7 linked regions of the Nothobranchius furzeri genome follow. The protein of the gene in region 1 interacts with the protein of each later gene in a pairwise test. Links are inferred from orthologs where the notes say so. Each region holds a gene or a part of one and is shown in the gene's direction. Other genes may lie near its edges. The genes, in order: hspb1, heterogeneous nuclear ribonucleoprotein D0, bag3, wdr83, stub1, pelo and fxr1.

Region 1 (3,843 bases):
CAGAGTGGATCATCCACCTGAAAGCTCCGGTTGTTTGCATTTGAAAATGAATTCCTGCATTGCCCGTTTGACCACCTGGAGGTCGTTCCCAGAAAGGGCCTTTAATGCAAAACAGAAAAACTGGCTCCAATTTAAATTGTTACTGTCTTTCCTGCAAAAACAACCTTGTTTACTGATTTAAAAAAAACTTCATTTTCACCATTTAAAAGCTGTTTTTTGCTTATATGAATGTTGATGGTAAACTTTTATTTATACAACCACATTAGACTCTAGTGTTTTCATTAATAACATACTATAATAATAATGTAAGAAAATGTGTGGCTCTTTAAAAAATGTAAATTTTGAACGTTAACATTTGTTTTTCTTTAAAAATCTTTTCAGAAGTTTTTGAACTTTATGCATGAAAGGGTTTATATTAGTTAGATCATTTTCATTCTAGATGTTCAAACAAAATCATCTCATGTTGAAAAATGGTGGAATTGTTGGTTTTTCTTTCTTTTTTTTCCAGCTAAATATCTGAATACTTCTGAGTTAAAAATGCTTATGAAACGTGTATGTGGAGTAACCAGGTAGGTAGGTTTTAGTAGTGTTGCAAATCTGCAACGCCTGCCTCCAGAGGGTTGCTCAAAGACAACACCCAGCAGCATTTTGTTTAAAACTGAGATGCATTTGGTCTAAAATGAACGTCTTCTATGTTTTTAATCCAGTTTGATATCAAAATACAGTTAGTATTTTGGCGTAGATAGCCCGAAAAGAAGGGGTTGAATTGATTCACAGTTGAAAGTGTCTCCCAGGCAGGATCTAACACGTACGTGTAAATGCTCCCTTTGCTTACCCTAAACCCATCTTCCAGGTGTTTCTACAACACTCTGCTAAATGTTTTCTATTGGACGCATCTTTCTAGACCGTTGTGTGTGTAAATGTGCATCTGTATTAAAACTAGAGCAAAACCACGACCCTGAGAAACGAATGCAACCAAAATGATGTTTTCATGTCTGGTTTTTAGCTCACTTTTTCCTACTTTGATGAAACTAAACAGTTTCCTGTCATCCACTAAGAAACTTGGGAGTTTTTAACCCAGTTTGGGTCAAAATGAGTTTTGATAGAAGGACGACCTCTGAGTTAAACAATGCTCATGAAACACATATGTGGAGTAACCAGGTAGGTAACTGTTGCAAACCTGCAATGCCTGCCTCCAGAGGGTTAACCCAGGTGAGTATTATGTGTTACTTTTTGCATCGTATCCCAGCATGTTGTGATCACATCGGCTCTTCAGGTTTCCTCCAGTTGCTTCTAGTCAGATCTGATCAGAATGGGAGGGGTGGGGGTGGGAGCTCTTACGTTTGCACTGGGCAGCTGTTACCAAGACCCGCCCTCCACGTGCTGCAACAGACACAAATAGATTCTAGATCTTTCCGTAGGCATGTTGGGGGCTTGTGGGTCTGGGGGCAGGGCGTTAGGGGGGTGGGACCAGCGTGTATAAAAGCTCTGCAGCATGTGAGTCAGGCATCAACTTGGAAGAACATTTTCTGAAAGACTTGAGAAGACTTCTTCTGCCCGACCACAGCAAGCATGGCTGAGAGAAATATTCCCTTCACCCTGGCCCGCACTCCCAGCTGGGATCCGCTCCGGGACTGGCACCACAGCAGCCGGATCTTTGACCAGATCTTCGGCATGCCGGCCCTGCTGGAGGACTTTCCCACGTTCCCCAGCTCCCGCTGGCCCGGCTACCTGAGGCCCTCCATCCTGGGCACTGACATCATGATGCCCCACAGCCACATGTACCCGGGACAGATGTTGGCCCAGCAGGCTCGTGCCCTGTCCAGGCAGATGGGCAGTGGCGTGTCAGAGATCAAGCAGACGCAGGACAGCTGGAAGGTGTCCCTTGACGTCAACCACTTCTCACCTGAGGAGCTGGTGGTGAAGATGAAGGATGGTGTTGTGGAGATCTCTGGTGAGTTTTCTCTCTTCTCTAGGTGTTTAAGTAACCTGCAAACATTCAGGATCTTTTATTCAGGATCCAGGTTAACTGAGGTCATTGTCTCCAGATGAAAAGGACCCCTCCCCCTCTTCCTCACATGGGTGGGAGTGGGATTCTGGCTAGAAGCCAACAGATACCTGTGAAGCAGCTTAGTTTTACTTTTTGTTTACATTTTTACTGGTGGCATGTGAGGCCTCCTCCCTCTCGGACTCGCCCTCGTGATCCCAGTTCTTCCAGTTTGCTGTGACTCCCCAGTGTCTGCAGCTTTAAAAGGACTGCTGGATCCGGTCCAGTTGACTGGACCTGGTCTGAGCACAGAGATAAACAAAGCGTGTGATTCAGTCTCACGGAATGGCACAAGAGATGAATGACATCACTAGCTGTTTATTAATTATTTTTTTAATAATTTCTGTTGTTTCCACAGGAAAGCACGAGGAGAGGAAGGATGAACACGGCTTCATTTCTAGGAGCTTCACCAGGAAATACACGTAAGCTTTTATTTTATTTTTTCAAAATCTGCAGGTTTGTGCAAAATGCATGCAGTCAAATGTATTCTGTATATCTGAAGCTGAAGTTTGGAGTTCTGAAATGCCTTATCAGCCACCTAGTCAGTCATATCTGGTTTATTCAACTCCACAAGTCTGCTGCCACCTAGTGGCCACACCTCTGCTACTACAACAATGTGTAACACTGTCTCCTCCCCCCTCCTCCAGCCTCCCTCCTACCGCTACTTTCGAGAAGGTGACCTCCTCTCTCTCCCCTGAGGGGATTCTGACCGTGGAGGCTCCTCTGATGGCCATCGAGTCGACCGAAACCACGATCCCCGTCACCGTGGAGAAGAAACCCGCCGTGACCCAGAAGTAGATAGCAGCGCTATACACCCTGATGCCATCAACGCACACGCATGCATGCTTTTTGTTTTAATCCACAAACGTCTTCGAGGAGATGAATCTTGTTGTGGTTTTTTTTATTACTTTTTAATTAGCTTTTTCATTTGAAGTAAATGTTGATGTTGCTTCTCAGTGGTCATTATTAAAATCGTGTGTCCTCAGGTACCTGTTTGTCACTGAGCTGCTTTTGGAAATAAAATTAACAAAAAATATTCTTTTGTCTTTTTTTTCATGATGTGACACCAACATGGGTCTGTGTAGTTGAGCTACGTCTGAGAATGAATTTATGTGGCTAAATTATATCTTTTGGTCATCCATGCAAAAAGCGCATCACGAAAGTCCTGTTTACTTACCTGCACATAATTGTTGTTTGCTTTTTAAGCAAAATCTAATAAAATAACATGCAGCCAGCTAACAACTAAATAAATGAACTCAGTCAAATGATCAATTGGATTTTACTAAACGTCCCATTAGTGCATGTAAAGTGGGCGTGGCTTAAACTGAACTGACAACAGTCAATGATGCTCAGCTGCCGGAAAGAAGCCAGCCATGCTGGTTATTTTCATGTTGTTCTGCACCAGCTGATCATCTGTAGGATGGAACCTGTTTCCATCACTTCTTTCTCTCCTTCCATAGCATCATCCTTCAGGCTTTCGTGTTGCACGTCTGTCCGGAAATACACAGACCAACTCTGCTCCTGACCCCAAAGCTGCAGGGGGAAATCTATATATATAGACACCATGTCCTGAGCTTCCAGCGTGCTGTGTGGTCACAGGGAGCCGGCAGACAAACCGGCGGAATGTTCTTCCACGGCTTTTGGCCTGTAGTGACTAATAGGTCAGCTATAGTTGGATTGATTTCAGATTTAACTCTGGCAGCCAAAGCAGATGTCTATTAGCTGACCATTACGTTATAAGCACACAGTTCCTGAATGCTACTGACTCTGGACAAGGACACTCAGCGTTTCCTCCT
Region 2 (4,663 bases), on another chromosome or scaffold:
ACAGAATTCACAAGGGTCAACTTCAAAACCAAATCTCTTCCTCAGTGTCTCTGCTGATGGATAGTAGTTGTTGAGAATTTTAAATTGCATTTCTTTTACTTTGGGCTTTATAGGCCATTTTATAAATTGTAATTGTTTTTCTTCAATTATTGGATTTCCTTGTATTTTTATTTTAATCTTTCTATCATAATCATGATAGATATATTTTTTAAGGCTCCATTTAAATATTTATTTTCACTTTAATTTCACTTTAAGGCTTTAATCATACCTGTTTCTTTAGCAAATGCACATCTTGTTTGCACTCGTCTTCCTCCCAGTGAGTGGACAGGTGATCCTCCAGATGCTCCCTGATGTAAGGAAACAAAATATCCTGGAAAAGTGACAAAGCCCGGAGTGTATTAGTTTTCAGTTGTTAGAAACAGGCAGTTTTTAGCCGTATGCAACTGTTAGCTCTTTACTTAGCATTACGGTTGGACCCACCTAATACAATAAAAACAAATGTAACTCACCTTAACGAATGTAATTGGTGTAGTGGTTCCCTCGATGTCCAACAAGATTGTTGTAGTGCGAGCAGGAATAGAAACAGTGGCCATTTCTGTAACTAGAATAAAACACAAGGATGGTGGAGGTTCTTATCTTAGCTAACGATAGCTTAGCTTAAATAGTGTGGTGTTACAGCGAGGCTCTGTTCCCACGTGCGTGTCCAGGTCGAATACCGCAAAACCGAGATTATAAATGAGCAGGAAATGGCTTTAGTTGATCTCTGCTACGTGATTATTCAAGCCATTACTTTAGCGAACACACAATGCAACAACTAACTCACATGTTCCGGTCTGACAATTCACCTCCAACTCACTAGGTGACGATACTGAGTATTTTAATAGCAAGGACTCATCATTTAAAAACATATTTTGAACAGTTTACAATTAATAATATTTTGTTTTGCATGTCAGAAAATAATTAGAATTCATTGTTACGTGTGTGCTATTTCTTTGAGGGTGTTAGCTGACTAGATAAATATTCTACGTAAAACACACACACCGTATATTTTCCATTCAATTTTTAATTTTCTCTTTACGTTCACTTGAAATTATAATCTGCCGTTCAAAGAACGTTTATTTTAACCGTGTTTAATGTTTACACTTAGATGTTGTATAGGTTACCCCGTCTGAAACTGTTCGCTGCTGTCAGCATCAGCATGGTCGTCATAGGTGTTCCTCGGCAAATATATTTGTGCGACTGCGAAGACAAAAATGTTAGGTGAAGAAAATATATAACTTAAATTATGTACTTTTTGATGAGGCGAGTCGGATGTGCGATAAAGCTGTGTGAATCTCTTTACATCTGAACCGAACACAAGGGGGCAGGGCAAAGCCAGTGGGAGAAACAGTTTTCAACGGGGTCACACATTTCGACGTAACACCGGCACGTTTGGGTGACGCTGTTCCCGGTTTGGTTTCCTAATTCATCCGTTTTTAAAACAGAGAAGAAGAATCCGGTGACGGTGATAAAAAACGACACAAAACGACGCTCTTATTATTAAAATAACATTTGGAAGATAGTTAATTATCAGTTTAAACGCTTTAAATTTCTGTTAATCAAAACCTTAGATGTTTCCGTGAAGAAGCTACACGGTTTGCGTTTGCTTCGTTTTTTTATCTGATGGTATTTGATAATAAATATTAGCTAGCCACTAGCTATCTGTAGCGCAACTTCTATTTTTTTGTGAATTTGTATTTTCTCAAAAATTCCCGGTGCCGCTTTAGTTAAAAATTAGGTGCCTGAAAAAACCAAAATATGTCGAAGGATTATGAATTCAGCGAAGGCTCGAGCCTGATGAGAATGGAGGAGGATGGAGATGCTAACAACGACGACCCGATGTCCGCTAGTGGGGACTGTGGCCTGACGATGGGAGGCGAGGCCGAAGGGTCGAGGATTGACGCCAGTAAAAACGAGGAGGACGAAGGGTATGTTACTGTTCCAGCTTCATAACGCGGTCATTTATTATTTCACTCTCAGTCAAAGCTTTTGGACTTATATGAAGGATATACAACATGGATGCTACATCTGCATAAGTACATATAGAGACAAATTCAGCAAGGAAATCGGTAAGACTTAATACATTTACACAATTATAAAGATGTTTATGTTGAGTAGTCAAAGTGAGAATAACGGGACACATTTCTTTAGCATGTTGTTGACTCTGCTGTCTCACTCCGTTTAGATATAACCATAATCAGTTGGAATGCAAGAAAATCAATGCTGTGATATTTCATGTCACTGAATCAATATTTCTCGATGTTTGTAATTCACAATTTAAATGTTAACATTTACTGTAATTATTTTGTTTGATGCAATTCAAACTCTGACTGCTAGGTAGCAGCAGTTTTACTGCCTTCATTCTGATGGAACGACAAGATCTCGAGAAAACGCTGGATGTGTCTTGAAAGCGTCTGGAGTGATTTAAAATTAAATTCAGTCTTTAAAATAGCTAATCATGTGGCTTTTAGTATTGCATTATATCGTATCATCTCCCCTTTATTGTGATATTTGTCATATTGTCAGATTCTTGCCCTAATAACATGGTTATTTGGAGGAGGGCTTAAGGAGAGACACTGCACAGTCTCCCCTTAAGACCTCAAGTTACTTTGGTGTTAGGGCTGGGGGTAAACGATTAGTTTTAAAATGATTATTCTGACGATTATTTTATCGAATAGTTGACTTTTCTAATGGCGATTAATCTAATTATTATTTGTCTATTGCACAATTAATAAAAACCAGAAAATCTCAAATAAATTCTTCAAAAAAAGTGATCAACTGGTACTGTAAGAGAATAGAAGAAGAAGAAAATATCATTTCTATAGTGCCTCTCAAGATAAAAATCACGAGGCTCTTCACAAAAACAAAAAAAAATGTAAAAATATAAAAAAGCATTTAGAAAATGTTTTAAAATACAGGGTTTCCCTTACATAGGCGTAGCCGTGGCGGCCCGCCATGCGCTGTTTCCCGAAGAAGCAGCGGGAACTACTATGTTGTCGCTTGTGATCACAGCCGGCGGGCAGCAAGAAGAAAGGAGCAGGCAGAGCAAGGTGACGTTACAGCATAAGTTACTGAGTTTAAAATTAGAAAGGTAGCAATGGATATAATGCATTTTGGTTTACATGTTTCAATAGCAGTAAGATAAACAAGTGTTAACGATCTTGACAGGGTTTCCTCCAGTGCTTATTAGGCAAGATTTTCCTCCCTCCACCAGGCTAAGCATCACTTATTCATGTAAAATTTATTTATTTTTTCATGTCTGACTTTAACCGCATCTAATACTGTATTACGGCGTGAGCGCAACAGCGACAACTTAAGATCGATGTGTGAGCAGCCTGAGAGGTCGGGTGTTTTCATCTGAACCCTTAAAACCTCCAGCAGGCTACGCTGCACTATTGACGTGTTAGCGCGCTAACAACTTAGCAATGTGACATGTCTCGGAGAAAGCGTAAAAACACGTTGGACGCTTCTTCTGAAGCGGGAAAATAACGCTTCTTCTTAAGCAGAGCATGACGTTGCCTCGGCTCTTCACGGCCGAGCCGGTACCGGACTGGGCTCGGTAACTGACCCAGCACAGCCACTGGGTCGTTGGAGCTGCCCCGTGACTGCCTGATGGAAAACCAGCGGGTTTCATCAGACTCGTAAAGTTTCTTGTTTTAGCTGGGGACCCCCTGTATTTTACCGCTCCCTCCTGCAGTCTTCCCCTTTTAACATTTAAAACGATTCTGTAAATTCATGTATCAATAGAAACAATCTCTGCCTCTGCCAGCTGCAGTAAATGTAGTTTCCAAATAATAAATAAGAGGTGCGTTCATCTGTGTATCTCCTTTGATCCGCATTAGTGATATCCTCAGCACCAGAATAGTGATGTGTCGGTCGCGAACGAACCGGCTCTAAGAGCCGGCTCTTTGAAGTGAACGACGGGAGCCGGCTCGTCATTGGGAGCCGTCCCTCCCCCCTCCCCCCCTGCCTTGGTGAAAGCTACAGGCGATTGGTCAACATGTGTAACTGTGTGTCCAGACTGTCCACACACAGAGCAGTAGGGGCGGGGAAGAGGGAGGATCAGACTCAGACAGACACACAGCAGAGCACATGCGGGTGGAGGGAGACGAGAGGGAATGAGGAGGAGGAAAAAGGCGAGCGAGAGAGAGGAGAAAATGAGCGCCAGCAGTAGGGAAGTGGAGATTTCTTAAAGTGTTCAGTTATTAAATCAATAGAAATTATAAATATTTGATATATTGCTTTTTTACATTAGTAAATTATTTTACATATAGTTTAGTATTATTTTGGTTATACATGTATTCTACGCAACAGAAAATCTGAGGAGCCACTTGGGAGCCAAAAGAACCGGCTCTCTAAAAAGAGCCGTATTTCCCATCACTACACCAGAACAGTGAAGCAAAGAAAGATTCCTGAGTTTGTTAGTAATTTTATTTATTAGGTGCAACTGACCTGTTCTATTGTTCTCTGAAATGAGATCAAATCAGTGCTACTATGGGTTGTCTCCAATCTGCACTGGAAAATTTACTTTATTTAGAGAAGTGTCATAATTTCTCCCCAAGCCTCTATTGATACACGGAATTTACAGAATCATTTTAAATGTTAATAGGGGAAGACTGCAGGA
Region 3 (4,520 bases), on another chromosome or scaffold:
AATGAAGAGGAAGTTTAAAATGTAGACGAGGTTTAATTCAGATTCAGACCTACAGTAATTTATGATTTATATATCACAGATCATGATGTAGAGGACACTACCAGCTAACGTTATATAAATATCCTCGTTTCCAATGTGAAACTGTTTAAGGTAATCCCTCATCTGAACTAACGTTTTTTTTAATCGTCGAAATATACGTGTTTTTGAACGCCTACTAATTAAAAACGTAAATTAACACTTAATATTGAACGTTGTCTACACTTGTTTTTTGGACATGTAGCTCAGTTAGCCGCTGCGTATGAGAAACCAAACGAAAGCTAGCTACCACGAAAACACTAAAAATACTTACAGGGTTCTGGGGTAACTTTCGTCGTCCATGACCAACACTGAACGTGACGTCGTAGAAAAAATATAAACTATTTGGTAATTAAAGGACGTAGACTGAGAGATAAACGCTGTAAACAACGAGCTAACTAGCTTAGAAAGCTAACCGGGCAACGTTTCTTACGTCACGCTGAGTGTGCTAACTGCGCCTGCGCATGAGCACCGAAAGGTCAACCCAAAGGGTCTGGGTCAACCTTTAGTTCGAAGCTATAAATGGCTTAATTTTATTCTGTAAGTTGAATTCACCGTGTGTAAATAGAAATTAATTGAATAAAACAGTTGATTCAGAGAATATAATGACTTATTTCCCTCTTGCTTTTCGAAAGCAACGCAATTTACGTAAAAGGCTTTTATTTTGAAGTCCATTACATGGGTACGCTCGTTTTGTATTTCGAGGTTTTCACGATTTGGACTCGAACAAAACAAGCATCGGTACTCATTTTTCACAAGGTTTTCCGAATTTTTAAACTTGATAATAGAAACAAGATGGGGTTCTTTTCCTCACAAAAATGACACACATTTTATAACAGACTAGATGACATACATATTTCTAATTTTAATCTCAGAAAGGAGCCAATATTCTACCCTTTCTCATAATTCTTACAATCTAAGAAATCTGAGAAAATAACTTTTTATCAGTGGCCTTAATTCTCCTCCGTAGATATTTATCAGAACGATAAATCATATTTGTTTCAAGTTCCTGGCGTTTTGTGTCTCCGCACCGATGCAGACGCATAAACAGGTTTAGCAGTTGCATCTCTAAGCAAATTGGATTGAGGGGAAAAACTGCTGTTCAAACCCCAGGTCTAATAGATTTGCGCATGCGTGAGTGAGAAGGTTTCAGGGTTATTACGTGATTCTGGGGTTGTTATTAAAGTAGAGCTGGTAATAGCTGCTCTCTGTAAACACCAACTATAACTAAATTAATGTAGTGTCTTTTGTTGGGGGGTGTCTGCGACACAAGAAGTAGCCGCCATGCCGCTGCTTCCAGCGCGGTCCGCCGCCCCCGACATTAACCCCGCTATTTCGAGAAACTTCCAGCCCACTTTCCTACGTCACTCGCAGGAATCTTTAAAGGGACCGCCGCCCATAAAAAATGTCTCAGTACTCGCCATGAACGCAGTGAAGACGCACTCTCCGACACTTGTGATGGCTGATAATGACATCGACCAGCTCCCCCTCGGATGGGAAGTCAAAATCGACCCTCACACTGGATGGCCCTTTTTCGTGGATCACAACAACCGGACGACAACCTGGAATGACCCGAGACACGACACCAAAAAGGTAACGGAGGCGGGATAAAGTTGTTTCAACGGGTTTCCGTAGGGTGCTGCGTCGGTTACGGATTGTGTTAAGCTGCTGGAGTCGCTACGCTACATGGCTGTTTTGTGTTAATCTTGTTGACTGTAGGCCTTGTTAGGTCCCGTCGCCTCCCCCTCACTGACTGCTCATAAGCCTAATAAAACGGGTGATCAGCCCCGTTATGTTCCCGAGTCATGATCTAACACTATTATTACCCGATGACTCACTGCCGAGTGTCAAGGCTTTCTGATACCAGCGTTAATTTAGGTGGAAAACTCATTATAAACTTTTTTACCCACAAAATAAAATGCAGTTGGGTCCCATTCCATTTAGGATATTGAATCTGGTTGTTTAGATGTGGAAATGTAGAAATCTACAGGTCTGTAATCAAATCCGTGGGCTGACGTGAGCTCCACAGGCTGCCAGCTGGGTAATCTTTCTTCATAGGGACAGACACTGTTTTCCAAAGTTAGTGTCCTGAGGAATCTGCTAGAAAGACACAGCTGTTGAGGGATAAAATTGGTGCATTGGACCAGGCAGAGGGCAAAGGGTCGTTCACGGCTATTTCTCAACTTTTGCTGGAGGATTATCAATAGTTCACACATTAATGCCCTGCTTGTAGTTGTATTTTATTTATTTTTTATTATCTCAGCTGCATGGGGCACTTTCAGTGTTGGTGTTTGATCATTCTGAGGCTTATGTAAAAAAAGTATTTGCACCTTTACAGATTTCTTCTGCTTTTGTTCTTTTTGTTGTCACGCATAAATGTTTCAGATCAGCAAAGACAAAATGCAGTTTTCAGATGAAGACTTCAAGTTCTCTTAACCAATAACTCTGAACACTCTTGGACAGAGGCGGCACCAGGACATTTTCATGGGGGACAAGATTGGGGGGCCAAGGAAAATTTAAGGGTGGCACATCAAACTAGTTCTCTTGGTAACTCTTGAGTTTTTTAGCCTGTAGCTGTGCTCTGCATCCTCATCCATTCTTAAAAAATATGCAGCAGAAATGTTATATTTGAGAAAATAAGAAACTTCAAATATTTAATTTATTCATACTTTAACATTTACTTTTTAGTAGTTTAGAACAGCTGGATGTATCTGTCGCTGTCTTAATGAATGCATTTTACAAAACAGATTGATATTTGTACTTCTTCTTGAAAATGGTGCACAGCAGCAACATATTAATTTGTTTACTTATTTCTATATTTGTAAGGTTTTACATTTTATTAAAGAAGACTAATGTATAGTTTTGTGAACATAAATATTGAACATAAATATGATTTATTAAAGGAGGTTGGAGAGTGGAAGTGCTCTGAGGTGGCCAGCAATTTTCCAGGATTGGTCAAGGCCCCCCTCTGGCCACCACTTGGGGGCGCCACTGTTCTTGAAGGCAACAACTGCAATTAAAGAGACGGTGTGTATTTTTCCTGGCGATAGGGGGCAGTAGATACATAAATCGTTGCAAGCAAGCAGTATTTTTGTGTTTGAGTAACCCCAAAATTCCACTATCTCCGCTCCGGCACGAACTCTGCAGCAAAAACGGTCCCGTTGTAGTCAATCAGAGCTGTTCCACTACTGCGGCCGTGCGGCGCAGTGAGCCGTTCCGCCATCCGGCAAAAATGGATTGATTCTATTTTTGCCGGACGCCGGAGCACCTCCGCAGTCAAAGGACAGAAATCACAATCGCCCAACAGGAAAGGGAGCAAGCACAACTTCCGTTATTTCACAATAAATCGATAAACAAAAAACGTTTTTTGTTTCATATGCACATGTTTAACAACTTTTAACAACTATCAATGGCGGTTGAACTTTAAATGCACAACATAAGCCATAAATACAGTTTCTACTATCAAAGTAGTCACACTTTGTTGATCCAAACACTGCTGATCTCTCAACACAAATGATGGGCAGATTAAACAGTTCATTTCGATGCTTCCCCCACACAACGGGTGTTTGGATCTAACTTCCAACGAGCATTTATTGCTCGGACTGTATCGCAAGATCTCGAAAATCCAGCGCATGCCTGTTTGCGCACCTCAGGTCTCTGCACCGGAGCGGAGCCGTTGTAGAGCGGGTACCAGTAAAAATTGAGTTCGGAAGCGAGCGGCTGCGGAAAGCGACAGATGCTCATTAGGGTCAAAAAGCCCTGGGGAGTGCAAACTTTAGTAAAATGACAAGCACATCAGACTCCCTTTAATCAGTGGCAACAAGTGAAGAGGTAAATGTGTAAAACAACATTTAAGAATGACAAAAGTTTTGTAACTGTTTGTTACAAATCAGTAAATGCAATTTGTCCTCACGGGCTCCCTTAGAAGGAAACTTGACATCTAATATGGAGTCACCCAGAGACTTAGACCCACTCCCATGTATTTTAGACCTGATTTTTATGGTTATTATACAAAGCCGTCAATCATTTTCAACAACTGGGCATCATTCCATTAATTTAACGACATTTTGATGGATATTTCCAGAAATGAATGATTAAAAACTACACATTGTCTCTTTAAGCTCAAGAACAACGAGTCAATCTCTTTAAGAGTCTCACTTGGAAATCACCTATACGTTATATAAAGGGGAAAGTTGCCAAAGCCATAGCAGTATTCTATAGAGTCATGTTTCTACTAAGTTGGTCTGGGTTATTAATGTTGTATCACTCACTGATTGAACCATATTTAATTTATTGTTTGGAAATTTGGGGAGCCACATGCAAAACTTTTACTCAACCTTTGTTCATTTTACAAAAAGCGCATTGAGAATCATAACAGTAACTATAGAGATCCCTCTAATCCATTATCCATTAGAAATAAAATACTGAAATTTCCTGACTTGAAA
Region 4 (4,588 bases), on another chromosome or scaffold:
CAGTACATTTTAAACAACTTGGGAGTGAAAAGGCTGTTTTGTCACTACAACGGATTTGGGGATGTAGTTTATTGTTAATAGATATTGTGGTTTCACAACAATAAAGTTTTGTATTGTGCATATGGATTTATGAGTAGTACGAAACAATGTCTGAGTTTCTTGTTCTTTAAATTACAGTCCAATTAATCATACATGTTTGAAATATAATGCTGAAATATTAACCTCTGAACAATTTTTGTTTGTTGATTATATTTCATTTTTAATTTATTATTATTTTGCATCATGATTTATTTTATGGTGTAGTGTCATGTGGTAATTGTTGCAAATTCTAAATGTAATTTTTATTTTCCTCAACTGAGGTCATTTTTATTTGCTTTATTCTTCAGTACGTTGAATGTAGGTTACATTGTAAACTGAATGTATGTGAAAACGAAGATTGAAATAGTTTTAAAAAAGTTTAAAATGTACTGCAATAACCATTTTAAGCCGGCAGATGGCGGTATCTGCCCCGATTGCAATGACAATATTGAGAAAACTAACAGTTTATCTCTTTTTATTCCACAATCCACATTGGTAGCAGTTGTCATAAATTATTTCAGAAATTGAGAACTGCTCTGGCGCTCTCCATCTAGCTCTGGTGCTCCCCTGCTTTTCCTGACTCTGTACCGGAGGCCGGTGACCCACCGCCGGTCTTCCACCCGGAAGTGTCTGTGGATCTTCCACTAGATCTGTCACGGATTCGTCTGGGGGAGCAACAAAAATGATGGAAAAAATAAATGCATTAACGCTTCTGATTGCATTACACTGTATATGCATGAAGTGACTGGGAAACGCATTTGTAAACCGCTTGAAATATTTCAAATATTTTCGGTGACAGCCTTGTTTGTTTTGATTTTGTTAATAAAGTAAAAAATAAAAACGTTGGCATGATGAGGCCGATGATGCAATAAGTGCTGCAATTACTGAGGTCACTACTACAGCCGCAGGTACCGTGGCAGCAGTGGTAGGAGGCGTGGCTAGTGCCACTAAAAGTCGTGGTAGGGGGCGTGGCTAGTGCCACTAAAAGTCGGAAGTGTAATGGCAGCAGTGGTAGGGGGCGTGGCTAGTGCCACTAAAAGTCAAGAGCAGCAGTGGTAGGGGGTCGTGGCTAGTGCCACTAAAAGTCAATAATCCAATAATACCTAGCTGCGGACATTGCCCAGGAAAAACGTTTTTCCTGGGCAATGTCCGCAGCTAGACCTTACTCCTAAAAGTCGTGGCACCACCCGGAAGTGTAATGGCAGCAGTGGTAGGGGGCGTGGCTAGTGCAAAGTCGTGGCACCACCCGGAAGTGTAATGGCAGCAGTGGTAGGGGGCGTGGCTAGTGCCACTAAAAGCCGCGGGTGCCACTAAAAGCCGTGGCACCACCCGGAAGTATCAGAACTGCCACTGCAAGTGCCACAAGCGCTGCCGCTGCCACAAATTGCGCTCGGTCCTGCTGTAAAATAGACACTAGGGTAAGTAAACAGCCTGTAGTGTGACATCTACTATCTTTAAAAAACAAACTCATGGTGGGTCTGTGTTTGTGTTTCCACTAATCTGCCACATAGGTCAAGTTTTAATCAAACAATGAGAGAAATACGCTGCTGCCACGTCAACTTGAAGAATTCTGATTCGTTTTTTCAACCTGTGTGAAGAAGAAATCACAGAAAGGATTGACTAAAATGTCACAAGATTTTGCAGTACGGAAATAAAGATGATAAAGAAGTTAAAACAAGTGAAAGGTAAAATCCGATCAGATTAGCTGTGGTTTCATTATTTTTTGACTTAATAAATTTAAAAAAGAATTAAATTACACGCTGTGCGAAAGACTCCCAAACTGATGAATTGAGTTATTTTCTTGAATGCTGATAAATAACATACGAGTAGAAATGTCGACTCCATGAGAAAGTGTAAACCATAATTTCAAAGCTAAAGCTAATTCCCATTACAAAGTATCACTAGTGAGGAAGGGTTAGCTAGGCTGCTAGCTCGTTGTCAATTATGGCTAGTTTCGGTGTAGATTTGTCTGATTGATGGGGGAAAACCTACCGTATAATTTTATTTAGCCTCCTCGGATCTGTCGTGCTATTGGAAGACATTTTTGCCCCCAAATCTCCTTTGTTAAAAAGCAAATAAAATAAATTTAAAGTGACCGACGGACAGCTGATCGGCCTCGCGGTGAGTGACGAAACGAGATCAGAAAATTATTTCCGCTAAATTTCAAAACAAGAGTTCAAGATGTTTTTTTGCATTGACTAACATGGAGGTAAAATATTTAATATTTTATTTTGAAAAGAACAAAATAACCCAGTATAAATGGGGCATACGGGTTTAAACAGTACACTCTTTATGATAGGAAAACATAATACAGGAATGTGTGGCTGTGGAAAGGATAGAGAAACGGTAGAAAATGTACTGTGTAAATGTGACAAATATATAAAGAATAGGAAAATATTATCTAGACAATTAAAGATGAAAGATAATGAAAAGTTGAATTTGAGGAATATATTAATTGGAGGATTAGATGTGTATAAATTACTAATTGAATTTTTAAAGACTGGTAATTTAATATATAGAATTTAATTAGAACAGTTTCTCCGTTTCTCCCTAATGCGACTCATACTCCCACACAGAAGGTGGCGGAAATGCACCTAGAAGTTGGTTGCCAGCATCGACCGCCACCCGCCAATGAACAAGAAGAAGAAGACGTTGTAACTTAGCAAACATGTATCGTTGGTGGTTTAAAATATTCTAGTATTAAACTTCTAGCTTCGCTTTGAATATATTAACATGACTAACAGATAGCGTAGGTACGTTTTTTCATGTTGATTATTAAAACGCTTTTTATTACCGGAAACTAGCTCGTGCACAGCATAATGACACAGTTTGAGGATATTGTGGGTGACCGATGATTGTTTCTCCTCACAGGTAATGATGGCGTTCCCTCAGCCCAAACCTCAGGCTCCTCAGCTTCCTCAGCATCTTCTCCGGACCATTGACTGCCAGCAAGGAGCTGTCAGGGCTGTTCGCTTTAACGGTAAACTTTAAAACCCCTCTTGAAGCCTGATATTTACTATTTATGCCAAAATACAAACAAACTTCCAAAGAACCAAACCTGTCTTTTTTTGTTAATCATTTAGTAATGTTTAAATCTGTGTTTACAATTTCTGTGATCTTGCAAATGGTTTTTACTTTTATTGTTATTGAATGGCTTTTCCTCCATACATCTTTGTACCTGATTCTTCATTAAAATCTACTAGTAGCAGCACTGCAATAAACACAAAATATAGTTAGTGTTTAATGTTGAGAATATTAAAATAATTTGATGAATCCATTATCCATCTGGCTAATGCCTAATCATAAACCATTAGTCCCTTGCATTCACACACACACACACACACACACACACACACACACACACACACACACACACACACACATACACATATATGTATGTATGTATAAAGTCTTATATTTTAAGCCTTTTGCCCCAAATGAATGACTTATGTAAGAAAAGATGTCAAGTTGTTGTTGTTGTTGTTGTTAGCCTCAAGGGCAACATGCCGATTATCACTTGTAAGTCGCTTTGCACAAAAGCGTCTGCTAAATACATAAACATAAAACATTGTTTTTATTGGTGTAAAATGTTCCTTTTTGCTTAGCTGTTGGTCGTGTACTGACAACACTTAATACACCTTTACTTAGGGCTTTTATTTTGTTGATGTTACAGTAGGAAGTGGCTTAAAATGAAAAGCACTCTTATGAAATTGGTCGCATGCAAAGATTTGACTGAAATCAACAATAATAATAAACATGATTGTTTTCCTCCTTATTTTTAACCAGCTGACGGAAACTATGTACTGTCGTGCGGCAGCGACAAGTCGCTGAAGTTATGGAGTGTGAGTCAGGGGACCTTCCTGAAGACGTACAGCGGTCATGGATACGAGGTTCTGGATGCAGATGGGTGAGACGTTTGCTCTCATTTTCTTCCTCAGTATTTCAGGAATAATAAAATGTTGTTTTCAGGTGATTTTTTTTCCGATCCATGATGGAAAGAACACAAACACTTCAGTCATCTATTTACTAAACTCCTTTTGAGCCTTGATGGACCTTTTTTTCCCTCTTTGACTGCTTCCACAGGTCATACGACAACAGCCAGATTTGCTCCTGCAGCTCCGACAAGAGCGTGATCCTGTGGGACGTAGCAACAGGCCAGGTCACACGCAAGCTCCGAGGTCACGCCGGGGTCAGTCTGGCTGCTTTCTATGATGGCGTTTCTTTTGTCTGTAAAGTCCATTTGATGTAATTGTCTGAGCTGTTGCTGATGTTGTTGATGTGCATTTATGTTTCAGTTTAATCGTGAATATCTTTGATTAAACTTTCTTTTCTCAGAAAGTTAATTGTGTGCAGTTCAACGAGGAGGCAACAGTGATCTTATCTGGTGAGTAGCAGAACACGTCTGCAGTGATCCGTGGATTTTTGGACTTCCTGGAGAAATGTGCCGTTCTTTATGATAAAAAGTTGAAATTTAAAGGTTATGATTCTGCAGTTTGAACCTTAAACGGTC
Region 5 (4,579 bases), on another chromosome or scaffold:
CCTAATCTTCACACAGGCTGGGATGAAAGTGACCCTGTCCAAAATCATTGTCTTGCTAGTTTCTCTGTTGCTAAACTTGAAAGATCTTAGTTATAAAGGTCGTCTGTAGGTCTCCCTGTGGGTGGGATGTCTCTGAGATACTTTATGATAAAGTCTTGAACATTACCCAACCCCTCCCTGAAGATGTCATCCACGACTGAACAAAGTGATGACCTGTTTCTAACAGACTTCTACTACTTTGGCAAAGGGTTAGAGGTGCGTTTGTGAATATTAGGACCAATCTTAATATTTTGATTTAATTATTCAAAAGTTTACATCACTGAAGCCTCAAAAGATCTTGGCATCCATGAAATAAGTTAATAGAGACCTGTTGTCCTTCTCTGCTGTTGCAGGTCTCTACACAGTTAGACGTTTTCAATTTTGATGTTCAAGTAATTTTGCAGCACAGAGCGCCCTCTGCTGGTGAAGCTTCAGATCAAAGTAGGACAAGCCGTGATTAAAAAAAAAGTAATTTGTGTGTGTGTGTGTGTGTGTGTGTGTGTGTGTGTGTGTGTGTGTGTGTGTGTGTGTGTGTGTGTGTGTGTGTGTGTGTGTGTGTGTGTGTGTGTGTGTGTGCTTTGCTTTGCTTTATGGTATTATAAGATAATAAAAATTTTAATTTGACACACAGACTCTAATTTAAATAAAGTTTAAGTTAAACTTTGAAATCCACAAAGAGAATGTTGGCTTCGACTTAAATATGTAAACAAAACAAAAAAACAAGTCTACCAAAATAACAGCAGCAAACAAAGATCCTGGATATCATTTCATAACAAGAATATGTGAGTCTGTTTGATCATTCATCATTGATCAACATGCCAGGAGAATCCTGAAAGGAATGTTGATAAATGATCCACGTTTTAACAGATTTGTACAAAGTTGCCATCAAAGGGTATATGAATGTAATCCACATTTTATTTTGGTAGGATTATTGCATTTTCTGACACTCTGACATAGCATCCTACCTGAATATGAATTTGAAACCACTGCATTAGGATTTGTACATAACTATTTGATTTAATGCTAAATTAGTAAATAAAGATAATTAAAAAATATAAAAAGATGTTCAGTACAACAGTAGATGCACACGTTTTTTTACCTTTATTGTCAATTAATAGTTGACCTCAAAACCTATTATGTATGAATATGTAAAATGTGTTTTGGAATTACTAATACTTTTGAATAGCTTGAATCTATGTCTACATGTGATAAAAAATAATGACTAAATAACTCACATGCCATCTTAATAAATTTGTCTAAATGTTACGTATTAACACGTAAATGTACAAAAATAAATGATACTTAAAAATGGTGTTTAAATAGCTACAAAATAATAATTAAGACAATTATTTAATAAAATAAAGTATACTCAAAATACTAAACGTTATTTACTGCATTTCACAAACAAATGAAATTGTTGGTAAGTCTTTCTATACATAAAACATTTTTTGTTTTATTCTAAATGAAAGATTAGGAGGTAATAACTGATACATAGTTTCAGTTATTTGCTTTTTATTTCATCGCACTAATTGTGTCCTTTCGGCTTCCGTTGGAGTAACGTAAAAAAGCCCTTTACGTCAGCATAACAACAACTTGTCATGAGAGCTCGTACGGGGAAAATCAATACTTAAAGACTGTATATCAAAATAAATGAAGTCACAATCATCTGGATGTAAGATTTATCATTAAAGGTAAGAGTTGGAAACGGTAGGCTTTAACAACGAACTCAGTTTAAACCAGAAACAGGGGAGGCTTTGGGCTAACAGGCTAATTTTAGCATTAGCTAAAGATTTTTTTACTTATCGCTTAGCCGGGTCTTGGTGTACTATATTATTAACGACAGTGTCCGGCTGAGAATAGTTTGGGATCAAACGTGGCATTTATTGTTCATTTGATGAATTCAGTGAGTTTAACTAGAGCTGAATGAGCGGAATCCTTTAGCAACCCCCGGTGAAAACCGACCACGTAGCCTAGCTTACTAGGCATAGCAGCGATCTCTGGTCTCACTAAAGTTGTGAATTTTTTCGTCTGAGAACATTTTCTTCCACAGCAGCTAGCCTCCAACTGTTCCTGCGCAAGCGAGTGATCTGTTTGGAGGTGTCGGTCGTCACCTTTCGGCTACCTCTGGTGTAAAGTTACCCTGACTTAATACTCAAAGCGGTGCTCATTGCAGATTGCAGCCCACGCCGATGTCCGTCATATGAATAGTTAATTCAGTCTAGGCACCTAGCTGTGTTTTTCAGCGGCAGTGCGCGCAGTCAGCAAATCAAACCTTTTGGGTGGCATCGAGCAGCATTGCACCTAAAAGACGCGCATTGCAGCTGCAGTGCAGTAAACCCTGTGGTGTCTGCTCTGTAGAGCGCGATCCAGGACGGACTGGTCATTTTGAACTCTGACGTCTGGCCAGCCGAAGAGACGGGGAACAGGATTGGGAAGCAGGGCGAGGCGGGCCCCGCGGAGCCGGTGGAGAAGATGGCCGGCAGCCCGGAGAAGAGTTCCACCGCGCAGGAGTTGAAGGAGCAGGGGAACAGGCTGTTCCTCTGCCGCAAGTACCAGGAGGCTGCAACCTGCTACAGCAAAGCTATTGTGAGTGGCACTAAGGATGTCTGAGTCTTAAGTCATCTAAGCTGGAAGAATACAAATGTTTCTGATTACAGATAATTCATTAACACACTTTCTGGTTTATTTTGTCCCACAGAACCGTAATCCATCAGTGGCTGTATACTACACCAACAGGGCCCTCTGCCATGTAAAGCTGCAGCAGTATGACAAGGCTCTGGCTGACTGCAAGCATGCTCTGGAGCTGGACAGCCAGTCCGTTAAGGCACACTTCTTCCTGGGTCAGTGTCACCTGGAGCTGGAGAACTACGACGAGGCTATTGGAAACCTGCAGAAAGGTTTGAGGAAGTCCTTAAAGAGGATGTAAACATGGCTGAGTTTTGCGTCATTTGGGGGGAAAAGTTCGTCTCACAAGTTCCTTCATTTTTCTTTCATAATTCCTTTTAGATTGAAGTTTTTGTATTGTCATCCTTTTATGTAGTTGTTTTCTCGTCCCCATTGTCTTCAGCAATCTTTAAAAGTTCTATTCCATGTCTACATCAATGTTGTGTAGATAAATTAATGACTTGTTGTGTAACATTTCAGAAAAGTCCGTTTTTTTCACAGTTCAACATGACCCTTAAATGTTGTAATACAATCTCCAGTAATTTCTGCCTATTTTAAATACCAGAAAGCTGATGTTTAAGTGCTGCTGGCTGACAGACTCACACTGTTCAGTCCGTGTGTTTTACTCATTTATATCTTTGAATGTTGCTGACAAGTCTCCAGACAAGTTCTTCAAACAAGCAGATCACACAGAGCATTAAACCCAATGTGCAACAGTTATTTGTTTTTTTTTACTAAAGCAGCGGAGTCCAATCCTGGTTCTGGAGTGCCGGTATCCAGCACGTTTTAGCTGTGTCCCTGCTCCAACACACTTAATCAGCAGCTCATCAAGGTCTTCAGAAGCCTGTTAATCACCTGCTGAGTGAAATCAGATGTGTTGGAGCAGGGAAACAACTAAAACATGCTGGATACCGGCTGACTTCAAAACTCATGGATAAGTCTAAAACCATAACACAACACGAGGGTCAGATTTATGCTTTCTATTATAAATGTATAGTTTACAGGCCAAACCAGAGCAATCAGAGGCTGGTTACCTGGTGGGTGCTGATGGACTGAGTCAGTGTCTCCAGTCTGCGTCATAATGATAGAGAAAGCTTGGTCATGTGTAGCTGCAGGTGCAAAATCTCTATCTTCTAACTACAACCTAACCTACCATTTCAGAGCGTTGGGAAATTGTTAAGCAGCCACAGCACCAGCTCTTCTGCAGCAGCATGGAATTGATAGAAAATTGATTTAAAGACTGTTTAGATGTTCTTTTTGACCGTTTTCCAAACTTCCAAGTTTTAACTAATGTGACTTATTTATTTGTTTATAGCGTATAACCTGGCAAAAGAGCAGAGGCTGAACTTTGGAGACGACATCCCCAGTGCGTTACGCATCGCCAAGAAAAAACGTTGGAACAGCATCGAGGAGAAGCGCATCAACCAGGAGAACGAGCTGCACGCCTACCTGACCAAACTCATCCTGGCTGAGAAGGAGAGGTCAGATGGGATTTTTCTGAAATACATTCTGGCACGCTGTGCTCCAGGTGGTTTAGATTTAGTGATATAACGTGGCGTTTACTATTTTTCATAGAGAACTTGAAGAATACAGAGAAAAACAGGATGACAATCAAAGCGGAGGAGATGCAGCAAAGATTTCATCAAAACACGTTGGGTTTTGCCCTGATTTTCACACTTTTTACTGACCAAAATATGCGTTGATGTTAATTTTGGGACATTTTCATTACATGTAAACGTGACCTGCTAAGGACAAGTATTTAATGGACATGGACGAGCTGTTCTCCCAAGTGGACGAGAAAAGAAAAGTGAGTTGACAAGTTGTTAATTTTTTGTTGTTTATTTCATTTAATTCATATTTAAATACTTTAAATAAT
Region 6 (4,420 bases), on another chromosome or scaffold:
CAAATCAAACTGAATATGGGGTTAAAAAACAAACATTAACCAGGGAAGTGGTAATTCAGTCTCATTTTGTAACAATCCTACTGAGGTGTAACTATTTTAATTCATGTCCAGCATACGTGTGTCTATCTATCTATCTATATATATCATATTTTCACAACTCTATTGGTGAAACATTTTTATAAGCAGACCACTGAGAAAGGGTCAAAAATTATGTATTTTAGTAGTTTTTCCTGTTGTCTCATTTATCGCAGCATCTAAAAGCACACGATGCAAAGGGAAATTCAAATATTTTAGGTTTATTCTGACACTGAGAAAATCTAAACATCTCATGGATTTCTGACAAACTGGTCAATTTTGGGGATTTTTGGTAAAGGGTATTCTGTAAATCATGCGTTAAAATAACCAGAACGCTTTTTAAATACCAATTTTCACCTACGATGATTTATTTTCATGATTGGAAAAAGTAAAAACTTCAAACTAACCCTACAATAAAATCACACGTCTTCATCGCTTGATGAAAATACATTTCAAACAGCAAATATGAGAAAAGACGCGCATCGTTTCAATAAATCAATGTTAAACGAGCCCTTTAACGGGATTACATGTGAAAATTTTTGTTGAAGCACTTAATGCAGGTCTACATAATTAATCTGATGGTTTCTGTCCAATGCGAGTCAAATTTTGTATTTCAATTGTAAAACCCCAAAGATGGATAATTAGGAAGTCTTTCATTGGCGGCTTCTTCCCTGTTAGCTAAAATGGCACCTCGGTGAATAAAAACCGAGTCTTACCTTCCAGGAGACGCTGTATAATTGAATCGATGTTCAGCTTGTCGGCTTCCGCCATACTATTCTTCTAATCGGGTCGGGTTTTCTTTGATTTACTTCGAAATTTCAATACGAAAAGATTGTAAAGTAGCTCTCGAGTTTACCGTTAGCTCAAGTAGTTAATCGGCTATCGTTAGCCGCTAGCTAACCTTGGGGGATAATAACAACCTCAAAGTGTGAGGCTGAAGACTGAATTGTTGAATATGTGATGGCTGACATGTGCTTGCAGAAATTTAATTAATCAACGACTTCAAATTTGAATCCTAAAACACTTTTTAAGTGTTTGAAATATCCGCCGCGGCTGCTAGCACAACCATGCCATCGACAAAAAAGGTTAGAAGAGCGTGGCTGAACGGATGTTGTCCGACTGTATTTGAGCTGCAATTGGTTCGTTTACCTCCGTGGCCGGGATCTGTGGTACAAAATCTGCTATCGGGTTGGCTATTTTCAATGTACGTCAGCATTTAGTCATCTCAAAACCACAACGATAAAAGAGCAAGTGCTCACGGAAATGGATCAAACGTTGTTCTTTGAGAAACTTCAGTTTACTTGAACATTTCCAAATAAATAAATACATCTACAAAATCTGAAATATTTAAGTTTCGGTCGCTTTGTATGTACTGCGCAGAAGCAACACCCATTAAAGAGGCCAAGCTAGACAGAATTGACGTATGATAACATGACGCAATGGGTCCTCTACTGCTTATTCGCCGGCGAGTTTAGTGGTGCATCGAATGGGCGGATGCAACTTACAGTCCGCTACGGTCTCAATGTTTAGGCGGATCGTTCTCCGGCATAACGTTAAGGAACGGACCCACGTCTCAGCGCCTCGCAACACGAACCGAGTGATTCATTCCAAAGTTGAGAGATGGCTTAGCTTAGTTAGCGCTTTCATTGAAATAAATATGTCCGTAATTCGGTTAAACTCCTGCCACTGTAGTTTAGGTTGACAATCTTGTTTATTACATTAAAACAATCCAGCCATGAAGTTGCTCCACAAAGACATTGAGAAAGATTATGCCGGGTGAGTGAAATGTTTCAGCTAATATTAGCAAGCTAAAAAGCATGCTATTGTAGCTGACCAAACATGTGTCATCGTAGTGGTGATGGATACAGGAACATTTACGATCAGTGCTTTATTAGACAATGTACAGAATGAAGCATTATTAACATAATACTGTATTTCCTGATATAGCCAGAGAGCTTTGATGACTGTTCTGTCCCCATCTAATGGGTAAACAATAAGAATCAAACAGTTTTTGTAATTTTTTTTTACATTCTGCATAAACATTCTATCAAACATTTGGATCAGTCGATGTCTAAAGAACATTTGATCTTGTGTAATCAAACATAAAAGCCAATCAGAAAGCTAGTTTGATGTGTGTTAACACTTCTTCAGTCAGGTAACTCTGATGCCAGAGGAGGCAGAGGATATGTGGCACACCTACAACCTGCTCCAAGTGGGGGACAGCTTGAGAGCCTCAACCATCCGGTAACCTTTGACCTGTGTCGCATAAAGATGAGATGTGCAACTCTGAACATTAAACTATCTCATGACCATTAAACAGACCACTTAGAAGTTGGTTTTAGTTCAGATGAGTTTGTTTCTTCTCTTTTCTGCCTGCTAATCAGTCAGGGTTGTATTTTGATTTGATCCCTTTCACAGTCTGTATGCATGTTAAATTGAACATTACACTAACAACTAAAGCTATTTTCCCTTGTTGCCACAGAAAAGTACAGACAGAATCCACGACAGGAAGTGTGGGCAGCTCCAGAGTCCGGACAACTCTGACTTTATGTGTGGAGACCATTGACTTTGACTCCCAGGCATGCCAGCTGAGAGTGAAAGGCACCAACATCGAGGAGAACCAGTATGTCAAGGTGGGAAATTGGACCGTAACCCTATAGTAGTCACACTCCGGTGTGTTTTTGTTTTGCTGTATTTGACACCGTTACTAGGGCTTGTTTGGGTTTGAAAACACTTGTCATATTGTGTTTTTCAGATGGGGGCTTACCACACTATTGAATTGGAGCTCAATAGGAAGTTCACTCTGGCTAAAAAATGCTGGGACAGCATTGTGCTGGACAGAATTGGTAATTGGCTGCTGGCTTTTATGCCACAGTTTTAAAATGAGATCATTTGCTGTTGAGAAAGGATGCCATTACAGCTGTTTAGGTTAGTTCCTAAAAATCATGCACAGTATTTTAGTGCTCAGCCTGTATGTTATGGACGATTAAATGTCGTTCACATAAAATTTAAGCTGTAAAATCAATGTGTTTACCAGTTTCAGTGAACTGTAGCAGCCATCCTGAATCAGGTTGACCCCAAGCACAAACCAGGTTGTAGATGTGCTATAAAATATACGTTTTTAGAGTCTTATTGAAATCCATCCAGTGGTTTATTAGATATCTTGCTGACAAATGCAAACAAAAACACAAGTACCCGCCTTTTGGCTTTCAGCAGTGAGTTGTGATAGACCTGCAGTAAAACATTTGTAATGATGTTTGACCCATTTTTATTATTTTCTACCCTTTAGACCAAGCATGTGATCCGGCTCAGAAAGCAGATGTGGCAGCTGTGGTCATGCAGGAAGGTCTGGCTAACGTGGTTCTGGTGACCCCCGCCATGACTCTGCTTCGGGCAAAAGTGGAGGTCACGATTCCTCGGAAGAGAAAAGGCAGCTGCAGTCAGCACGAGAAGGTCAGTCGTCTGGGATGTGTTCTGGTGTGTGCTTTGTTTATGTCTGGATAAACCTGCTTGATTTATTTGAAGAGCAAGTCACTCCAAATCAACATTTTTTTTGCTGATAAACTATATAAATGAGTGTCTTATTGTGCTGTAGACAAATGTAGTCAATAATTTGGCATTTTAGTGCATCTTAGTTAAATTTTAACTATTCTGCCTAAAACTGTCAGCGGTGCACTGTCGTCAGGCAAAAACTCAGCACTGCATTTGAATAGAAATCTGCCATCGCTATTGGCTAAGAGGTACACAATGATGTTAGATGGTACATTATGATGTCACAATGTCGTGAGTGTGTGTATTTGTTAGCGGCTCCACCCTCTCGGTCTGCTAGGCAACAGGAAGTGGGAGTTCAGTAAGAATCTGGCCGTGGGTGACTTGCTCTTTAAGAGTGGTTGCCTTCAGATGGTCATGTAACGATTATTCACGGGTGCATTCAGATAAATCATTTAAAAGGTAAGTGTTGTGCTTGTTTTTTTTACCAGGCATTGGAGAGGTTCTATGAGGCCGTGATGCAGGCCATTCTTCGCCACATTAACTTTGATGGTAGGTCCAACAGACCTACACTTCCACATGTAACAACACAGCATGTTCCTGTTTTCATCACATGTTCCACTCTGAGTTTCACCCGCAGGCTGAATGTAAAAACGGTCTTCTACCCCATCACCTGATTTAGCTGCTGATAGAAATAGACGGAAAAACGCTCAGATTAGAAAAGTCATTCAGATCTACGTCACACTGGAACTTAACATTCATGGGCTCATCCATCTTGACTCACGATCAGGAAGGCTGTTGCTGGTTTAACAGCCAGGAAACGGCAGAGAACTTATCTGCCTCGTAGAAGCTAACC
Region 7 (3,920 bases), on another chromosome or scaffold:
TATGGAACCTTGGAGGCAAACACTGAGACGGACCAGACAGCTGACACCGATGCCAGCGAGTCCAACCTGCCAGCAAACCGCCGCCGAAGGTCACGGCGTCGCAGAACAGATGAAGATGCCACTCTGATGGATGGCATGAGCGAGTCTGACAACGCCTCGCTGAGTGAAAATGGCTTAGGTATGGAGGATGGATGAGTCGTCTTTGAATGTAATCAGAGTGGCATTGCTAGGTGTTGTCATCAGAGCAGCATTTTGACAGTAGGAGAAGCTTCTGCAGTTTACGGTAGCGTTTAATGTTGAAGACACCAATCATTCTGCTTTTGAAAACCTAAAACTCCTAGATGTAAAACCTCAGCGCCGCAACCGTAGCCGGCGTCGCCGCGCCCACCTGCCAGAGGAGAGGCAGCCAGGTAACCAATGGCAACCGCTGGTGTGTGTTCTCCAGGCTGCAGCTTTAGTGGCATCAAACAGAACACTGCATACTGAGCTGCAGGTGCAGAATTAACTGGCATGAGCGTTGTTGGCGGTTTTGGAAAACTAAGAGGTTTCTTCTTGTCCAACAGCATCTAACAGTTGTGCTTCTATTAAAATGCGAGATTTGAACCACTGCTTTTCCAGCCTGAACTTGTTTTACTCTAAACTCACTATCTGCGTTGCGATTCTGCCGTAGCAAAAGTTACATTTTTAAGTTAACTTAAAATACTTAATCAGTCCTCGCTGATGTTTGTGTCCGGTGTTCCCGACTCTGCAAGCTTCACTAATGTCTGTGCGTTGTAATTTGCACAAATGGAAGTCCTACTGATGTTGTGAAAACTGGGGCGGATGTGGCATAAGTTCTCTGCCCCGGTGCCTTACCAGAGGTGTTGTGGTGTTTGTGCAGTGACCGTGGCTGACTACATATCCAGGGCTGAATCTCAGAGCAGGCAGACAAACACCAAGGACACAAAGAAACCCAAGGATGTGGTCAGTACCGCCATGCTGCATGTGACTGCCGACAGATGTCCGTTAGTTTCTATAAAGTGGTAATTCTGGTAAAGTGAGCATCTCTGGTGTTCGACTGAGAATCTCTTATTTTAGAAGCAAGAAACTGTCTTATAGAGCTGAATGATCACCTGTTTTCTGGTCGACAATTCGATTTCAGACAAACATAATCGGCCAATGCCAGAGCTGAAGGAGCAAAGCTTCGGCTCCTTTTAAGCCGGGCGCACACCGTGCGACTTTTTCACTTTTTTGAGCCGATTTTCCACTCGTGCGAGAATCCACGACATCGGGGCGAGTTTTGCGCTGAGCGTCGTGTAGTGTACAGGGGGTTACGAGAGGCGATTAACACCACGTGACCAGCTACCGATCAGCAATCGTGAGCTCGCACGGACTTCTGGCGTGTTTGATATTTTGCTCGTCCCTCGTGAGGGTATCGCACTGTTGAAGCAGCGCTGCGACCCAAAAAGTACCAGAACCGCTCACGGCGCATGCGCAATCCTGCATCAACACCGCTCGCCCGCTATTTCCCTAATAACACACGCTGTTCGTTTTTATTTCTAAACATTTTTTTACACACAATGACAAATATTGTCAATAAAGCGTGTTTGTCGTGTTCATGTCAAATTAAACTGATAACAAAACACAGATTTACTTTATTTTGTTTTCCTCATCCAACCCCCATAAATCCCCGTGTGTCCTCCTGCAGGACTCCCGAAGGACAACAGGCAAAACAAGACAAAAAAGTCTGACGTGTTGAGTAAAAACTGCTTTTTTTAGCATATTTTTAGGGCCGACGTGTTGCTACCAGACGTACAGTGTGAGCAGTCAGGTCGCATCCGAGAACTGGGTCGTACAGCGTGAGCACATGACTCGTGAGATCTGCCCTGCGAGGAAGTCGTACAGTGTGAGCTGAAGATGAGTGCTACGAGTGAAAAAGTCGCACAGTGTCCGCCCAGCTTTAGTTGTTTTTTTTTTCCTGTAGCGCTGCGCAGGCCCATGTTTTTTATATCTGGGTTCCTGAAGCAGCAGAAGGGGATTTATCGTGGTAAGACTGCAGCCGTGGAAGCTCAAGTTCTCTTCTTTCAAAACCTGTTTGAACGTTTCTGATGACACAAGCCTTTGCAGAGTTAGGGTAACTCAAAGCTAGCCTGTAAAATGCGTCGGCGTTGGTTGTAACGGCTGCTTTTGAGTGAAGAATCATTCAGGCGGCCCTGAAGAACATCCAGTTACCTTCAGATTTCATCCTTAGTGTTAGCTTTAATGCTTTGACGGTGTGATGTCGCGTTCGGCCATGTTTGTGAGTGATTATGTACTTAGTGAATTTTGTGCTGAAGCTTGATTTGAAGAAAGTCGTAACTCAAATGAAACTTTCTATCAGAAAAATGGCAGTGCGGTCATTTCCTAAACGCACTTTAGCTGAAAACTTCCTTTCATCTATCCAGGGTCAGGTGGAGGCTATTGCTGAGCACAGTCCGCAGTCTGCTCCGCCAACCACCAACGGCTCGAGCAACGGCGCCACCAAGTCTCCCCCTGAGAAGCCCGCCAAAGCCTCTCACACGGAGGACTCGAACCCGGAACCTGTCGTTAACGGACTCTCCTAGTTAGACCGGAGCAAAGAAAACGGTTTCAAATATTTGGACTCCTTTGGGGATACTTGGTTGCGTCTCCATGGCGAGGCGTCAAAGTTTACTAAACATTTAAACACAACAAGCACTGTCCTTTTTATTACTTAACAAATATTTGAAACCTGTTCTGCAGCACAAGACCGTAACCTCTCATTTACACCTTTATCTGTTCAACTGTTCATTTTACTAGTTAGTTTTCTTTCTCAGTAGTTCTTCCAGTACGAGCTTGCCAAAGATAGTCAGACACATGTTTAGGGACACACACACACACACACACACACACACACACACCTCTTTAGCTTGCTCTTCACCGAGAGCTCCGATGGAGGTTTGGCTGAAAGCAGTGTTTATACAACGCAGACAGGAATTCCTCTCAAATCCATTCTGTGGTGTGAATGCAGCAGTTTGTTTTTTTAATTCTGGCAAAGTTTTACAACGATGCCTGTTTTTTTGTCGCGTGGCAACATATTTTTTATTTTAGTTTTGTCTTCTCCAGGATGCTTTTTCCATCCGAGGTAGTTTGAAAAGTGAACATCTGCATGAGCCTTACCACGCTGCAGATAGGTTTGTCGCAAACTCAAGTAGAATTGATTCACGTGTGATCAGCTGTTGTGCCTTGAGAGTAGATTCAACATGTTGCTGCCTGGCTCTGCGCTCCACCTGAAATCCTTCCACATCTCTCCGCGTGACCCGGTTTCCCTCACCTGCCACAGACGAGGCGTCTCCGCTAGAGGCCGGTGAGGGCGAACCCTCAAAACGCCCTCAAAGGATTTCAGAGCCATCTCTCTAAAATCAGGTGTCTGCTCTTAATGTTGTGGGGGTGGGGTGGGGTGGGGGGGTCCCGTTATCCTTTATATATTTATCTGTTGAGGAGTTTGACATTAGCTGCTTCCTGTTCTTTAATATGCAACCACTCTGATCATAGGACAAATGTTATTACAGCATATCTGAGACGAGACGAGACGTTTTGTTTGCACTGAAGCGTAACCGACTTCTGTTGAAGCTGATTGTAGTTGAGTGAGAAAACTGGCTCGCAGCGGTTAAACGCTGCACCGATATGTAGCCACCAGGTTTCCTGGAAACATCAGGCAGTTTGATCAAGTTTCACAAGGATACTGAGACTTCAGAAACCCAATAAAATCAAAATAAAACCCGTCAAGAGCGCCTTTGCTCAGCCTTTTGGGCCCACTTCTTAATGCCTAAAACTGCAAAAATCCTGTAAAGAACTGGACTTCTCTGCTCTGGTGTTGATGTTCCTGAAAAGCAGACCCAGGGGACAACGATGTCATTTTTATGGTTCTTCCACACTGGCTG

The links.
Region 2: the proteins of hspb1 (region 1) and heterogeneous nuclear ribonucleoprotein D0 come close enough for resonance energy transfer, tested with the Homo sapiens proteins (2 studies listed by BioGRID). The link is inferred for Nothobranchius furzeri from reciprocal best matches to the Homo sapiens genes HSPB1 and HNRNPD.
Region 3: the proteins of hspb1 (region 1) and bag3 interact in binary tests that used the Homo sapiens proteins (3 or more experiments, as listed by UniProt). The link is inferred for Nothobranchius furzeri from reciprocal best matches to the Homo sapiens genes HSPB1 and BAG3.
Region 4: the proteins of hspb1 (region 1) and wdr83 interact in binary tests that used the Homo sapiens proteins (3 or more experiments, as listed by UniProt). The link is inferred for Nothobranchius furzeri from reciprocal best matches to the Homo sapiens genes HSPB1 and WDR83.
Region 5: the proteins of hspb1 (region 1) and stub1 interact in binary tests that used the Homo sapiens proteins (3 or more experiments, as listed by UniProt). The link is inferred for Nothobranchius furzeri from reciprocal best matches to the Homo sapiens genes HSPB1 and STUB1.
Region 6: the proteins of hspb1 (region 1) and pelo interact in binary tests that used the Homo sapiens proteins (3 or more experiments, as listed by UniProt). The link is inferred for Nothobranchius furzeri from reciprocal best matches to the Homo sapiens genes HSPB1 and PELO.
Region 7: the proteins of hspb1 (region 1) and fxr1 interact in a two-hybrid assay, tested with the Homo sapiens proteins (2 studies listed by BioGRID and IntAct). The link is inferred for Nothobranchius furzeri from reciprocal best matches to the Homo sapiens genes HSPB1 and FXR1.

What each region holds. Positions count from the first base shown.
Region 1 is NC_091750.1:66,231,534-66,235,376, forward strand, and holds hspb1 (heat shock protein beta-1), read left to right. Parts: upstream 1-1,482; 5' UTR 1,483-1,572; coding exon 1,573-1,954; intron 1,955-2,405; coding exon 2,406-2,469; intron 2,470-2,694; coding exon 2,695-2,845; 3' UTR 2,846-3,083; downstream 3,084-3,843. UniProt on the Homo sapiens protein: Small heat shock protein which functions as a molecular chaperone probably maintaining denatured proteins in a folding-competent state. Plays a role in stress resistance and actin organization.
Region 2 is NC_091746.1:62,892,380-62,897,042, reverse strand, and holds the start of heterogeneous nuclear ribonucleoprotein D0, read left to right. Parts: upstream 1-1,576; 5' UTR 1,577-1,797; coding exon 1,798-1,967; intron 1,968-4,663. Other genes in the region: enoph1 (enolase-phosphatase E1), read right to left, coding at 269-370, 510-601, 824-908. UniProt on the Homo sapiens protein: Binds with high affinity to RNA molecules that contain AU-rich elements (AREs) found within the 3'-UTR of many proto-oncogenes and cytokine mRNAs.
Region 3 is NC_091752.1:5,542,928-5,547,447, reverse strand, and holds the start of bag3 (BAG family molecular chaperone regulator 3), read left to right. Parts: upstream 1-1,469; 5' UTR 1,470-1,497; coding exon 1,498-1,668; intron 1,669-4,520. Other genes in the region: tial1 (nucleolysin TIAR), read right to left, coding at 350-378. UniProt on the Homo sapiens protein: Co-chaperone and adapter protein that connects different classes of molecular chaperones including heat shock proteins 70 (HSP70s), e.g. HSPA1A/HSP70 or HSPA8/HSC70, and small heat shock proteins (sHSPs), e.g. HSPB8.
Region 4 is NC_091744.1:1,725,102-1,729,689, forward strand, and holds the start of wdr83 (WD repeat domain-containing protein 83), read left to right. Parts: upstream 1-1,426; 5' UTR 1,427-1,496; intron 1,497-1,635; exon of another isoform or gene 1,636-1,763; intron 1,764-2,070; coding exon of another isoform or gene 2,071-2,120; exon of another isoform or gene 2,121-2,223; intron 2,224-2,696; exon of another isoform or gene 2,697-2,831; intron 2,832-2,949; 5' UTR 2,950-2,952; coding exon 2,953-3,058; intron 3,059-3,864; coding exon 3,865-3,985; intron 3,986-4,161; coding exon 4,162-4,267; intron 4,268-4,413; coding exon 4,414-4,462; intron 4,463-4,588. Other genes in the region: wdr83os (PAT complex subunit Asterix), read right to left, coding at 2,071-2,120. UniProt on the Homo sapiens protein: Molecular scaffold protein for various multimeric protein complexes. Acts as a module in the assembly of a multicomponent scaffold for the ERK pathway, linking ERK responses to specific agonists.
Region 5 is NC_091756.1:32,259,518-32,264,096, reverse strand, and holds the start of stub1 (E3 ubiquitin-protein ligase CHIP), read left to right. Parts: upstream 1-1,590; 5' UTR 1,591-1,730; intron 1,731-2,397; 5' UTR 2,398-2,511; coding exon 2,512-2,625; intron 2,626-2,737; coding exon 2,738-2,936; intron 2,937-4,018; coding exon 4,019-4,184; intron 4,185-4,278; coding exon 4,279-4,354; intron 4,355-4,453; coding exon 4,454-4,510; intron 4,511-4,579. UniProt on the Homo sapiens protein: E3 ubiquitin-protein ligase which targets misfolded chaperone substrates towards proteasomal degradation.
Region 6 is NC_091756.1:34,853,421-34,857,840, forward strand, and holds the start of pelo (protein pelota homolog), read left to right. Parts: upstream 1-1,580; 5' UTR 1,581-1,810; coding exon 1,811-1,851; intron 1,852-2,226; coding exon 2,227-2,319; intron 2,320-2,557; coding exon 2,558-2,708; intron 2,709-2,830; coding exon 2,831-2,921; intron 2,922-3,364; coding exon 3,365-3,528; intron 3,529-4,055; coding exon 4,056-4,116; intron 4,117-4,420. Other genes in the region: ppp1cab (protein phosphatase 1, catalytic subunit, alpha isozyme b), read right to left, coding at 792-846. UniProt on the Homo sapiens protein: Component of the Pelota-HBS1L complex, a complex that recognizes stalled ribosomes and triggers the No-Go Decay (NGD) pathway.
Region 7 is NC_091748.1:72,983,185-72,987,104, reverse strand, and holds part of fxr1 (RNA-binding protein FXR1), read left to right. Parts: coding exon 1-178; intron 179-341; coding exon 342-410; intron 411-880; coding exon 881-963; intron 964-2,423; coding exon 2,424-2,582; 3' UTR 2,583-3,920. UniProt on the Homo sapiens protein: mRNA-binding protein that acts as a regulator of mRNAs translation and/or stability, and which is required for various processes, such as neurogenesis, muscle development and spermatogenesis.